Macaca mulatta: one gene and its partners. The protein of the gene in region 1 binds, or shares a complex with, the protein of each later gene. Links are inferred from orthologs where the notes say so. Each region holds a gene or a part of one and is shown on either strand. Other genes may lie near its edges.

Region 1 (3,646 bases):
CTTCTGTACATCTCGAAAGGCATAGTCTGCTTGGGGTTCTTCTGCTCTTGCATTCTGCTTCCCTGGGGACAGCTTAATCTACACATGGAGACTGGTTTCTATATTACATCTCGATTAGTCACTTCAATTGAAAGATAATCTCGGTCCATACCAAATCGGCCATTAGAAGTCTTGCTCCCGTTGGGGCTCAGTGGGCTTCCTAGGACTACTCTTGGGGCCATAGAGGAAGGTCGTAAATGAATACCCAGAAGCATTAGCCCACCCTTCACGTGGACTTCTGACGGTAATGGAGGGTTAGGTCTCCACCGCTCTTCCATATGAAGTGTTTCACTGTTCGAAGGTCCATATTTGGATCCAAAACCTGAATAGCCAAAATTAAGTTTAAAAATTTCAAAGTCTCTAATATCTAAAACCTTTATCATTAACTCAGGGACTCCAGCTTGCTCACTCCTCCCCTATGCCTGATATCCAATTCTTGCTGTCACGGCTTCCATGCATGTGGGAATGAAATTGAGCTTAGTGAGATGTACATCTTTTGTGATTATACCAGAAACACCAGGCCATCTTTCAGCCATTCGTCTAAGGATATGTTTTGAGTGCATCTTGATTTAAAAAACCATTCTGCCATTTCTCCGCACACCTTCACTCTAAATCATAAACTAACATGGCACATGCTGCTTTGCAAATCAAGAAGACCATGTGTCTTTTTCTTGTCAGAAAAAAAAGCTACCAGCACATCCACATTTGTCTATGTATCCCTTCTCTGAAAATCTCCCCAGCAGTAAAGAGGAGCTTTAGGGTGGGCTTTAGGTGGGAGAGGCCCAGGGCTCCTTAGAGCCCCTCTAAAAGTAGAAGCCCCCCGCCCAAAGGCATGTAACTCTTGATAAGCACCAGCACTGGAAAAACTGGGGCTGCAGTCCTCAAGTCCACTTACCTGGTCCTGGCACAAAAGTTCAATTTTCTCCTCTGCCAACACAGCAATATCCTCTTCTTTTTCCTGTTCTCCTGGTTTTTCATTATTAGAAGAGCTAGTGGTTTGAGACTCATTATCCAAGTTGATAATTTTTTCATAAACATGTTCCATAACTTTTCGGACTTGGAGCATGTCACTAGCAGAGAGTCTGTCTCTGTAAAGAAGCAGTGGCATATTGTGACATCAGGGAAATCACTAGATATTATTTATTCCATATTATTTTTCTTTGATGCGAACATTTTATAAAGATGAAAAATCAATAAATGTTTTTAGTCATTACCTTAATCCATTTTTAGAGCTGCCGAAAGATTTTCTACAGTGTCCTTCTAAGACATAAGTTTATGTACAACTAAATGAGATTAATACATGTTCTTAAAACTTACATATACAGGCCAGGTGTGGTGGCTCATGCCTATAATCCCAGCACTTTGGGAGGCCAAGGCAGGTGAATCACTTCAGATCAGGAGTTCAAGACCAGCCTGGCTAACCAACATGGTGAAACCCTGTCTCTACTAAAATACAAAAAATTAGCTGGGCATGGTGGTGCACGCCTGTAATTCCAGCTACTCAGGAGGCAGAGGCTGCAGTGAGCCAAGATCATGCCACTGCACTCTAGCCTGGGCAACAGAGTGAGACTCCATCTCAGAAAAACAAACAAACAAACAAAAACACTTACATATATATACATAGTAGCCTTCTGGGTTTTATTCCCTTGAATACTTTCCCAGAGCCTGGGCAAACTAAATAATAATTCTGGAAAGGCAGGCAGCTCCCAATGCTTACCAGAGTCCTACACTGCTCAGTTTTCCCTGGGCTTTCCTCCCCACTGCCATGCCTTCAACTAGCACCTGTGGGTAGACAATGCCTGAGTCTAGACCTTGAGTCTCAAACTTCTGTCGTAAACCACAAACCCAACAGCTGGTTGGGTATCTTCAGTTGGATGTCCTACAGGCACTTCAAACTCTCTATGTCCCAAACTAGACTCACCAACACCCTACTTCTGTATCTCTGATAACAGTCAATAACTATTACACCAAAAAACTAAGGCTTACGCTCTGAAAACCATTTGAACTGCAGTTGTTAAATCTATCTAAGACTCACTTTAAAATAATTGTGTGTGTGTCTGTGCGGTGTGTGGAGGGAGGTGGGTGGGAGGGCAGGTAGAGGTACAGGTGAAGCAAAATGTTTAGCAAGGTATTGATAATTACTGAAGCTATCTGATTGGACAATGGGGAGCTCTTTCTATATAAGTTTGGAAATCTCTGTAACAAAGAGGCTTACAAATTTTTTTGATTTTATTTGCTAGAATATACATATTGTTCATAGTTTAGCATTCCATCACTACAGTACTAAAATTCTTCTCTTGGGTCTCCCTGGACCATATCCCACATTGGCTCAAAAGTTTCTGGTGTTTAGTCACTGCACGCTCTATGGCTTGGCATTCAAATCCAACATCAACAAAACCTTTAACAGCCTTTCCAATTTACTTCCTAATATCTTCCTGCTGTGCCTCCATCCCATGCTGCAGATGCATGGGTCCTCACACTACTTTCCACTATCTTATGCATGCTCCCACTTCCATATCCCTGATCACACTGTGTCCTGGACTTGGAATATCTATCTTTTGAAGTTCTACCAATCATTACATGTCCAACTCAAATTCCATGTCCTTCAAGAAGCCTTTCTGGGAAGCTCCAGCCACAAGCTCATTTCTTTCTCCCACTCTCATTATTCCTTAAGTATCCATAAAAGCAACTATTATATACAGGTTGGGTCCTAAACTGTGAATTAAGGCAACAGACAAAATGCATGTTTTATTTATCATTTTTTTCTTAGAGACAAGGTCTCTCTCTGCTGCCCAAGCTGGAGTGCAGTAGCATGATCTTAGCTCACTGCAGCCTCAAACTTCTGACGATCCTCCTGCCTTAGCTTCCTGGCTAGCTTGGACTACAAGTGTGTGCTACCATGCCCAGCTAATTTTTTTACTTGTATCTTTTGTAGTGAGGGGGGTCTCACTATGTTGCTCAGGCTGGTCTCAAACTCCTGGCCTCAATTAATCCTCCCACCTCACCCTCCCAAAGTGCTGGGATTATGGGTATCAGCCACTGTGCCTGGCCTTATTTATTTCTGAACACCTGTAGTCGGCCAAAGTTGGTACCTGGTAAGTGGTTTAATTGTATAAACTATGAATATTATAAAATCAGCCTTAGATCTGGTATATGCTTCCTTTGCTATAAAAGGAAGGAAAAGGAATTCTCTCAGTAGTTAATTAGATCAATAAAGCATATATTTACTTACTTTTTTAAGGTTTTTGCTCCTGAAGATGCATGAGGTTGGAGGTAGAAAGGAATTTTGTTGAATTTGGGCATATTTTTCTGAAACAGTAAAAGTTAAAAAAGGTATAATAGTTTCTATTAGTTGATAAATGAAAATAATGTTAATAGGAAAACATGACTTGCGAGTAATAATTATCTTACAATTAAAAGTGACTTTCTATGAAATGTATAGTGAGCTATCAAATTACCTAAGTCAGCCTTTGAGAAAATTCATCAGAAAAATATATGTGACATTAGTGGCAATATGAAATTGTAGCATGGCTCTTCTTAGATAACAGTACAAGGTATTAAAGAGAAACAAACTTTATTTTAATTTTTTAAGCCATACAAACCAAAA
Region 2 (4,428 bases), on another chromosome or scaffold:
TTAAGTCCAGCCCATCTTCTCTCCACATTCCATACACACACAGCCGTATCATCCCTGCTTCACCCGGCATAGCGGGAGCAGACAGGAAGGACTCTGGAAAACTTTTATACTGAATGCAGAACTTGGTACTCCAGATCAAACTGCAGAAGTAAATGATAATCCTTCCCCTTCAAGGCCCTCATAATTAAGAGTTCAAAGAAAATTTTACTACACAGTAAGCATAAGGTGCTACTGAGATTACAAAAATGCCATTCAACTGTAGGAAGGGGATGGAGGGTGGGGTTGGACAGGGGTAGGATTATTGAAGTAAGGAGGCTCCCTGCTTAACAGACAGCTACACACACTCTCCAGACGAGAAGGAAAAGGGGTGTGGCGGGGAGGAGCGTTCCAAGCCTAGCAAAACCACCTACAAAGCCAAAGAGGTATCTCTGCTTTTCAATTTTGTGATTCTAGAGGACAGATGGCAATTTTCTTTAAAGAATAAGACTGCAAACTACTGAGATATTTAGCACTGTTTGGGGGTGCATTCGAATGTATTCAAATATGAATACGGACACACCGAATTTTAATAGTACCTTTGGAACAATCTCATTTGGCCAGGCACTATTTGCCAACAATACACACACACCCCACATGTAATTAACGTATCTGGGTGGAAGCCCTAGAAAGAGCTTCTGAGTTTGACATCCTTGAGATCAGAATCCCACTTACTAAGTGTGTGACCCTGGCAAATCCCTGTGTCTCACTGTCCTAATCTGATTACAGCATACATTTATTGTTTACTTGAATACTGTTTGTGTCCATGAGCAAGAATGTAAACACCATGAAAGCAGGGGCTGCCCTGACCAATACTGCATCCCCAGCACTCAGCCCCGCCTCTAGCACTTAGTAGCTGCTAAATGTATACTTGATATACAGTACTTGAGTGAATGAATAGTCGGTCAAGAGTATCACACCACTCCTGAAATCCTAGTCTTTGACAACGAACTATGACCCATACAATGTGTGTAGCTCAGCAATCTGGCAAAATTGTCACTGTAAAAGACCTAATTATCGCATTCCTTTTGAAACTGACTAATAATTGGCATATCTAAAAATAATTAGCCCAAACAATCCTCGAAAATCATTTTAACATAGTCCATTTAATACCAGTGCTTTCCTAAAATGTAAACTGTGAGAAAGAACAATCATCCAGTTGGGAAATGGAGTCTTCAATGATTCATCCTTCAGTATGATTTCTTTAATACTGTCGATTTTATGTCCACCTGATTTCAGCCATTTTTTGTACTGTTCCTCAGCGTGCAGGAGAGAATCTGCTTTTAAAGCATCTTTCAGATCTGATTCACCACTCCTTAAAGAAAAATATATACAATGTACAACCCTTGGACGGAAAATTGCTTGGGGATCTCCTATATGAAATCAGTTGCATAAATAGGACCAGTGAGACATGAAGCACAAGATTTCAGAAGTCTTTAATAACAACCACTAGGCCCACGTTGCAAAGAACAACTTTTTTCGGTGATGACTCATAAATTATGATCCCTACATATAAGCTCATGAGGAGCTAATGAAACGAATTTGTCTCATCATGTGGAAAACTGTGGTCCTTCTGGCCACGCACAAAACACCAAGTTTCAAACGCGCCCACGTTTTGCTTAATTCGGGACTTCCAGCGGGCATTAGCACTTTTCCCTTACAGTCTATTTAAACGCCCTGGGAAAACAAATACGGTCGCCTTGGCAGGCGGTCCCCGCACAGACACACCTAGCTCCAGCCACATACAGATGTGTCTGGTGGGCTGAAGTAAATAAATGACAGGAAAGCTAATGCTGCTTTTCAAGATTAACGTGCATTCCCAGAGACAAGACTGCCACCTGGACACACGGCTGGAAACGGGAGAGCATGTGCCTCTCAGAGGAGAAAATGGAGAGAATTTCAACAGTACTTATTTAAACTTTCCACCTTCACACACGCCCCTTTCCCCCAGCGCGGGGTCGGGGACTCGGCCCAGCCAGCGGCGCGAGGAAATCTGCACTTGACTTCCGTCCTCTCCCAGGCGGGAAAGAGCGCTGCCCGCCACGGCCGAGACCCTTCCTTCCTGCCCGCCGACCCCCACCCCGCCCGGGGACCCCTCCCGCTCGGCGCGCGACCAGGAGGAAATGCAGCCCGCGCGGCTCCGCGCCCCCTCGCCGGCGACCCCGGCCCGGGGCCGCGCTCCGACTCGCGCGCGCCCACCCCTCGCCCCGCCACAGGCCCAGCCCGTCTCGGCTCTCGGCCCCGCGCCCCAAGCGCACCCCAGCAGTTCAGCCGGGGGCTCCCGGAGGCCGGTGCCCGCCCCACGCCACGTCCGGCACAGTCGCCCCCTCACCGCCACCCTCGCGCCGCCCTGGCCCACCAGGCGGCGCCCCCTCCCCAGCCGCCTGGGCCGCTCACCCCCGCGCTCCCCGCCTGCTCGCCGTCCAACCGCCCCCGCCCGGGCCGCCCGCCCGCCCCCGCGCTAGGCCCTGCGGGCAGCCACCGGGAGAGGCGGCTCCAGCGCCGCCCGCCCGTCCGAGAGGTCCCGGCTGCCCCTGCCGCCCGCTCGCCGCACCTACCATGGTACAGATGGAGGCGAATTTGGAGACTGTCATTAGGATTTCCATCCGGCCAGCGCCATCTTCCACCCAATCACAGCGGCGGCGGCGGGCGGGGGAGGAGGAGAGCCGGGCCGCCCGCTCGCACCGCAGCCCGCGGGCGGACCCCGAGCCGCCGCGGACCCACGCACCGAACCCGCTGGGCCGCCGCTGCCGTCGTCGCCGCCGGCGCTCAGGCACTCCCGGCCTCGGGCCCCAGCCCCCGCCTGCCGGCCGCCGGCCCGCCCCCGGCTCCGCCCCAGCGCAGGACGCAGCCGCTGCCTCCGGGCCCGCGCCTGCCCGCGAAGCCGCCCGCCGCCCACCCCGCCCAGCGCGCAGAGGAGCGGGCTCCGCCGAGGCCCTAATGCCCGGCCTGCCAGGCAGCAGCGCGGCCCGGCGGCGCAGCCCCGCCCACCCCTCGGCGCCCCCTCCGCGGCCGGCGAGCGCGAGGCGGGGAACTCCGGCCCGGCCCCACCCCGCGCGCGGCAGAGGGCAGGACCGAAGGCGGGCACCGCCTCCTGCCCGCGTCCCTGCGGTCCTAGAGCCGGGCGCTTAGAGGCCCCGCGTAGGAAGGGGCGCGGCGGGGAGGCGCGGGGGCGAGGGAGGCGGCGGCGACCTGGGAGAACCTCGAGGGGACCAGCTGCGACACCCACCGCGGGCGAGGGGACGGCGAGCCCCCGCTGCCTAAACAGAAAACGGAGGCGATGATCTGGGTAACTACACGCGGAGTGGGAGGAAACCTGCTCTGACAGTTAAGATAACCCGGGTTACCCAAGCACTTGGTTTGTTTCTTTTTACGTATATTGGATGAATCACCGGAGTCAAACACAACTTAGAAAAAGACAAAATAATTAAATAAAAATGAAGAGGCAAAGAACGAATTACACGTTTAACTCTTTGAATTAAGAAGAAATAAGTAATGGGGGAAGGAGAGGAGCAAATCCTGCTGGCCTGTTGGCCGTAAATTTATAACAGGCTTCTAAATATCTGCACATTGAGCTGCAAAATAGGGAAGATCTCAAGCCAGCAGTGATGATGATATTACCAGAGACAAGAAGCCCGCAAGCAAGAAGAATGCCCTGTGAGAAATCCTTAGGCAGTGCTGGCTACTGGCATGGGTAGTTCCTCTTTTCTTCTTTTCTAAAATTCATATTTGCACCCTGTTCTTCATGCCTGGCAGCTCAGCTTTATTTTTTCCTATTTGAGAAAGTAGCTCAAGTGAGTAGAATAACTTCATAAATTACTATGTTAGAAAGCTTGTGGCATCTTCGATGGGTGAACTCGTGATGGGGTACTTTTCTGGGTTCCCCTAATTCAGTGGGATTGAGGATCTGAATTCAGGCAGAGCTGTAAAATCAGAAGTGCCTCACCTCACGGGTTCAAAGCACTCAAAAACAAAGCATTCAAACAAAATTTAAGTGAAAAATAGACTTCTGGTACATGAATACTGTTTCCATAGTGATTCCATTATAAGCTTGCTTGGGGGGAGAATGCAGATTGAATATAGCTAAATCCCATGGTAGCCGGCCTGGTTCTCCAAGCGCCTGCCTCCATGGAAGCCGAGAGCCCTGATACCCCAGCCAGGGGCTTCCCTCTCTAGACTTGCAAGCATCACCCACCTGAAGTCTTTCTTGCTCTTTTCTAACCCCTGTTTGGACAAGGGTTTCTACATCTTAGACCTCTAGGGCCCACTTGGGCTTTGTCCGAGTGTCCCCATGCCCGTCTGTCTGCCCATCCTGATAAACAAACAGCTGTGGTCATCCTGTCCTTTCCCCTTGCTGTTCTATTCCAGCAAACAGATTTGATGTGCCAGAAT
Region 3 (3,646 bases), on another chromosome or scaffold:
AGCTTAGCAGTGTCGGATACAGGATAAATACAATTCACAGGGCCTCACAAAAGTGTCACTGAAAATAAACAACATAGAGTTATTTTCCTGAAACTTGGGTTTTGGTAGAAATGTACGAAAATAACTTTTCATTGTCCACAAAAACTTCCCCCTCTTGGCTTTGCCTGCCCTGAGCCTTCTTAGCCCCTGGAATTCTAATGGCTAGGTCAGCACAGCCTAGTGCCAATGCCAGCCAACACCAGCCACCGCGGACAGCTTCTCTTCACCCTGTTTCATGTGAAGGATGATTTTAGTATTGAGGTTACTCACTTTTCAACATTTTCACTTGCACAAACTTAAAGCTACAGTTGCACCCCTAAAAGGTGAATATCTACCCAATTCTTCTGTCCTTTTATCAGAAAAGAGGCAGAGAAGCTGAAAATGGGTAGCAATGCTTCCAGGGACAAGTTAAAGGAATGCACTGTAAGAAGATCCTGGAAGCCACAGAAGTTTAGCAAACACCTAAAATAGACCATAGACATTCATAGGAAATGTCATTCTAATACAGCCAGACATAATGAATGGCATAGCTTTCACCCAGTCCTAAAATTAGCAACTGTTATTCATACAAATCAGACTACAATCTGATTGCAGTTAACTCTACGTCAGACTGAAATAAAACCAAGAGTAGTGCTGCATGTAAAAACACAAAAGGAGAGAGTCTAACTCGGCCAGACCATTGAGACTCAGAGTGATACCATTAGTGGGCCACTGGGGAAGAAGAAAGACTGCAGAGAAACCAGGTAATAGTGCTTTGAACATTTTCCCCCACTTGACTCAGTTCCACAGTTCTTTAAGTTACTCTCTTGACTGATAGAATAAAATATATCCAGATTCTGAATTTTTTGATATATCTGATGTCAGGCCATAGAATTCTTCAATAGCTTGAGCATCTATTTTCTGCAATAAAGGAGAAAGAAAACAATACAATTATATAATATGATTCCTGGGGAAAGGAGATAAAAACTAATGGAATATATATTAAAATGCAAGGAGGACAATTTGTTATGAAATCATGATTAGGAACTTTCAATAGCAAATGGAGAATTCCACAGACTTGGCTGAAGGACATCATCACAGAAATTGTACATCTCTGGGAAAGTAGGCAACGCCTTCATGCATTAGCAACCCTGTGTGGGCACTCATTGAAGAACAAGACAAGACATCTCCCAGATGGTAAACTGATGGGTCCTGGAAATAGCCTTAAGTCTTTCCGGCCACCAGAGTTTAGTGTTATTCCACTTTTAGTGTTATTCCACTAAAACTGCTACCCTAGTGGGTTAAAATAGATCATGTCTTTGAGTGTAGAATTCATTCCAGCTAGTATTCTTTTATAACAAAGTCAATACATAGAATGTATTGGTGTAATATAAAGATTTCCAGATCCAACAGACTGAAAAAAATAAACAATAATCGATACAAGAAAAATTTGTTATAATAAAATAATTTTAATAGAACTTTGAAGTCTATTGTTTGCCCTGTATCAGAGGGGGCTTTAGTCATGATAGAAACAAGACTTATACTTAAGTATGATTTACGGTGGCACAGATAGAGAGACCCCGTGTCTATGGCTGAACCGTAGAGAACACTTGTCGGTAAGTCCGTGATCACACCCCTTCTCCCTTTCCATGGAGCATGGGGATTCGCAGAATTTGGTTTTGAATAGAAATTTAAGTTGTTTTCAAATTACATTATGGGGAAAGAGGCCTATTTTAGAAAACATCTATACGTATACGTTCCCTGAAATACTATTGATGCTCTATGACTACTGGAGAATAATCTGCAAACCAACCTCTACAATGTCATCATCAAATAAAAGCCAGAAGCCGTGACTTTTCACGATAGTGATATAATGCCCACGATTAGGACCACTGGAAAAGAACAATTAAAAGAAAGTCAGCAAGTTAACATTTATCTCTTTATAAAACTCTACTTAGCTCTTTATACGCAGTGATTCTCTGGGAAACAAACTATGTCATCAGCATAAAGAACTTGGAATACAGCTGATGTCTATGTTCACAACACTAAGCTGGACACGGGAATACAAAAGTGGACAGAAGAGATGTCTTCTGAGGACTCATAATCCAGCAGCAAAAACAGACACTCAAATTCAGTAAATATTAACAAAAAATTACTCTCTACCTATTCTGTGCCAGGCCCTATTCTATCTGTCAGGGGAAGAAGCAGTGAACAAAACAAAGACCTCACTTACTTAGGACTTGGGGTAGGGGCCAGATTGGCAATATACAAACTAAAGTTATAAATGTATGTCAAGCGGTGAGAAGTGTCACGGAGAAGGATGAAGCAGGGTAATGGGATATGAGTGATGGGAGGAGGTAATGTTTGATGGAAAGTGAAGGGAGGCCACTTTGATAATGTGAGCAGAAGGAAATTTCCCTGAAGGAAATGGCAGGGGTAGGGGTAGGGGTGGGGTTGGGGTCAGGGCATGGGGAGAAGCCATGTGACTCTGGGATGGAAGTTTCAGAAATAGGGAATAGCAAGTGCAAACACCTGGGGTGAGTGAGTAGCACTTGGTGTCTTCAGGAACAGCAGAGAGGCCAAAGGAGGCCAGAGCAGCAGAGTGAGCGAGGAGGGGAAGACCGGAGGGGGCTGAGGGGCAGGTGTAGGAATCGCAAGTAAGATTTTAGGCTTTGCTTCGAGCAAGCCAGGAAGAAATGGGAATTTTGAGGAGTTGCATGATCTGTGTTTTAGAAAGACATTAACAAACCAATAAGCATAGTAACAAGTGTTAAAAAGCCATATACTATGCTATACGGAAAAAAGCAGAAAGGACAACTAAGCAGCTGTCACTATGTAGTTAGGTTAGATTTGCACGAGTGAGGAGATTTTAATCCTAAACCTAAAACTGTTTTTTAACGCACTGTTAAAGTTGAAAAAGCCAAACTTTCCCCTTTGTTTACCCTCTTTCAACACAAGATGATGCCAATGATCTGTTCCTGCCCTTTCTCCAGCCTCCTCCAGCTACTGTCTCCCTTTCCCTCTGAGCTCCAGCCCATCGGGCTCCTCTCACACGCCACCCCCTTCACATTACGGGCCTTTGCATTGCTGTAAACTCTGCCAGAGATAATCCTCCCCCAACTGCATTCTTTTTAGCCCTCAGCTCAAATGTCACCTCCCCAGATAAATCTCTGCTGACCACCTCACCTGAAGAGGTATTTCCCATCACTCACTCATCTCCCTGTTTATTCCTGATAGCACTGATCAAAATCAAATTATCTTGCAATGGTTTGTTTTTGGAGGTAGCAGGGCAGTGTGTTTACTTGTTCATTATCAGTCTTTCCAGATAGATTATAAATTTTGTGAGGGCAGGGCCCCTGTGCTGTGTGTCTTTTCGTTACTCTATCTTCAGATCCTGGCATGGAACCCAGAAAATATGAGCTTAAAAAAAAACTTGCAGCAGAAATCAATGCATGAGGCTATGCACCTGTTGCAACTGTGGGCCTGCCTTCCTGGCATGGAAGGGAAGGCAGGCCCAGCTCCCTAACCTCAAAGCTTTCCAGTGCTACCTGGAAGCCACCCAATCCACATGCATAGGCCAACCCTGCTCCACACAGGAGAACAATGCTACTTCTGTGGGGAGGAGTTT

Evidence for each region.
Region 2: the proteins of WDR48 (region 1) and USP12 are in contact, whole or in part, in a crystal structure (PDB 5K1C), measured with the Homo sapiens proteins. The link is inferred for Macaca mulatta from reciprocal best matches to the Homo sapiens genes WDR48 and USP12. Residues at the interface, in NP_065890.1 of Homo sapiens: Arg50, Trp77, Asp118, Tyr119, Lys121, Leu137, Ser170, Tyr172, Thr188, Asp211, Asn212, Lys214, Ser230, Gly254, Trp256, Arg272, Ile363, Ile364, Leu424, Lys425; in NP_872294.2 of Homo sapiens: Arg185, Leu187, Thr188, Cys189, Glu190, Thr191, Ser227, Lys230, Cys236, Arg237, Ser238, Lys239, Gln240, Glu241, His243.
Region 3: the proteins of WDR48 (region 1) and USP46 are in contact, whole or in part, in a crystal structure (PDB 6JLQ), measured with the Homo sapiens proteins. The link is inferred for Macaca mulatta from reciprocal best matches to the Homo sapiens genes WDR48 and USP46. Residues at the interface, in NP_065890.1 of Homo sapiens: Arg50, Trp77, Asp118, Tyr119, Lys121, Leu137, Arg139, Ser170, Tyr172, Thr188, Asp211, Asn212, Lys214, Ser230, Gly254, Trp256, Arg272, Ile364, Leu424, Lys425, Gly521; in NP_073743.2 of Homo sapiens: Arg181, Leu183, Asn184, Cys185, Glu186, Thr187, Cys222, Ser223, Glu224, Lys226, Cys232, Cys233, Ser234, Lys235, Gln236, Glu237, Gln239.

The regions. Positions count from the first base shown.
Region 1 is NC_133407.1:101,394,118-101,397,763, reverse strand, and holds part of WDR48 (WD repeat-containing protein 48), read right to left. Parts: intron 3,349-3,646; coding exon 3,272-3,348; intron 1,128-3,271; coding exon 935-1,127; intron 362-934; coding exon 266-361; 3' UTR 1-265. UniProt on the Homo sapiens protein: Regulator of deubiquitinating complexes, which acts as a strong activator of USP1, USP12 and USP46. Enhances the USP1-mediated deubiquitination of FANCD2; USP1 being almost inactive by itself.
Region 2 is NC_133422.1:7,255,582-7,260,009, forward strand, and holds the start of USP12 (ubiquitin carboxyl-terminal hydrolase 12), read right to left. Parts: upstream 2,815-4,428; 5' UTR 2,643-2,814; coding exon 2,595-2,642; intron 1-2,594. UniProt on the Homo sapiens protein: Deubiquitinating enzyme that plays various roles in the regulation of the immune response and inflammation.
Region 3 is NC_133410.1:80,912,505-80,916,150, reverse strand, and holds part of USP46 (ubiquitin carboxyl-terminal hydrolase 46), read right to left. Parts: intron 1,911-3,646; coding exon 1,832-1,910; intron 940-1,831; coding exon 838-939; 3' UTR 1-837. UniProt on the Homo sapiens protein: Deubiquitinating enzyme that plays a role in behavior, possibly by regulating GABA action. May act by mediating the deubiquitination of GAD1/GAD67.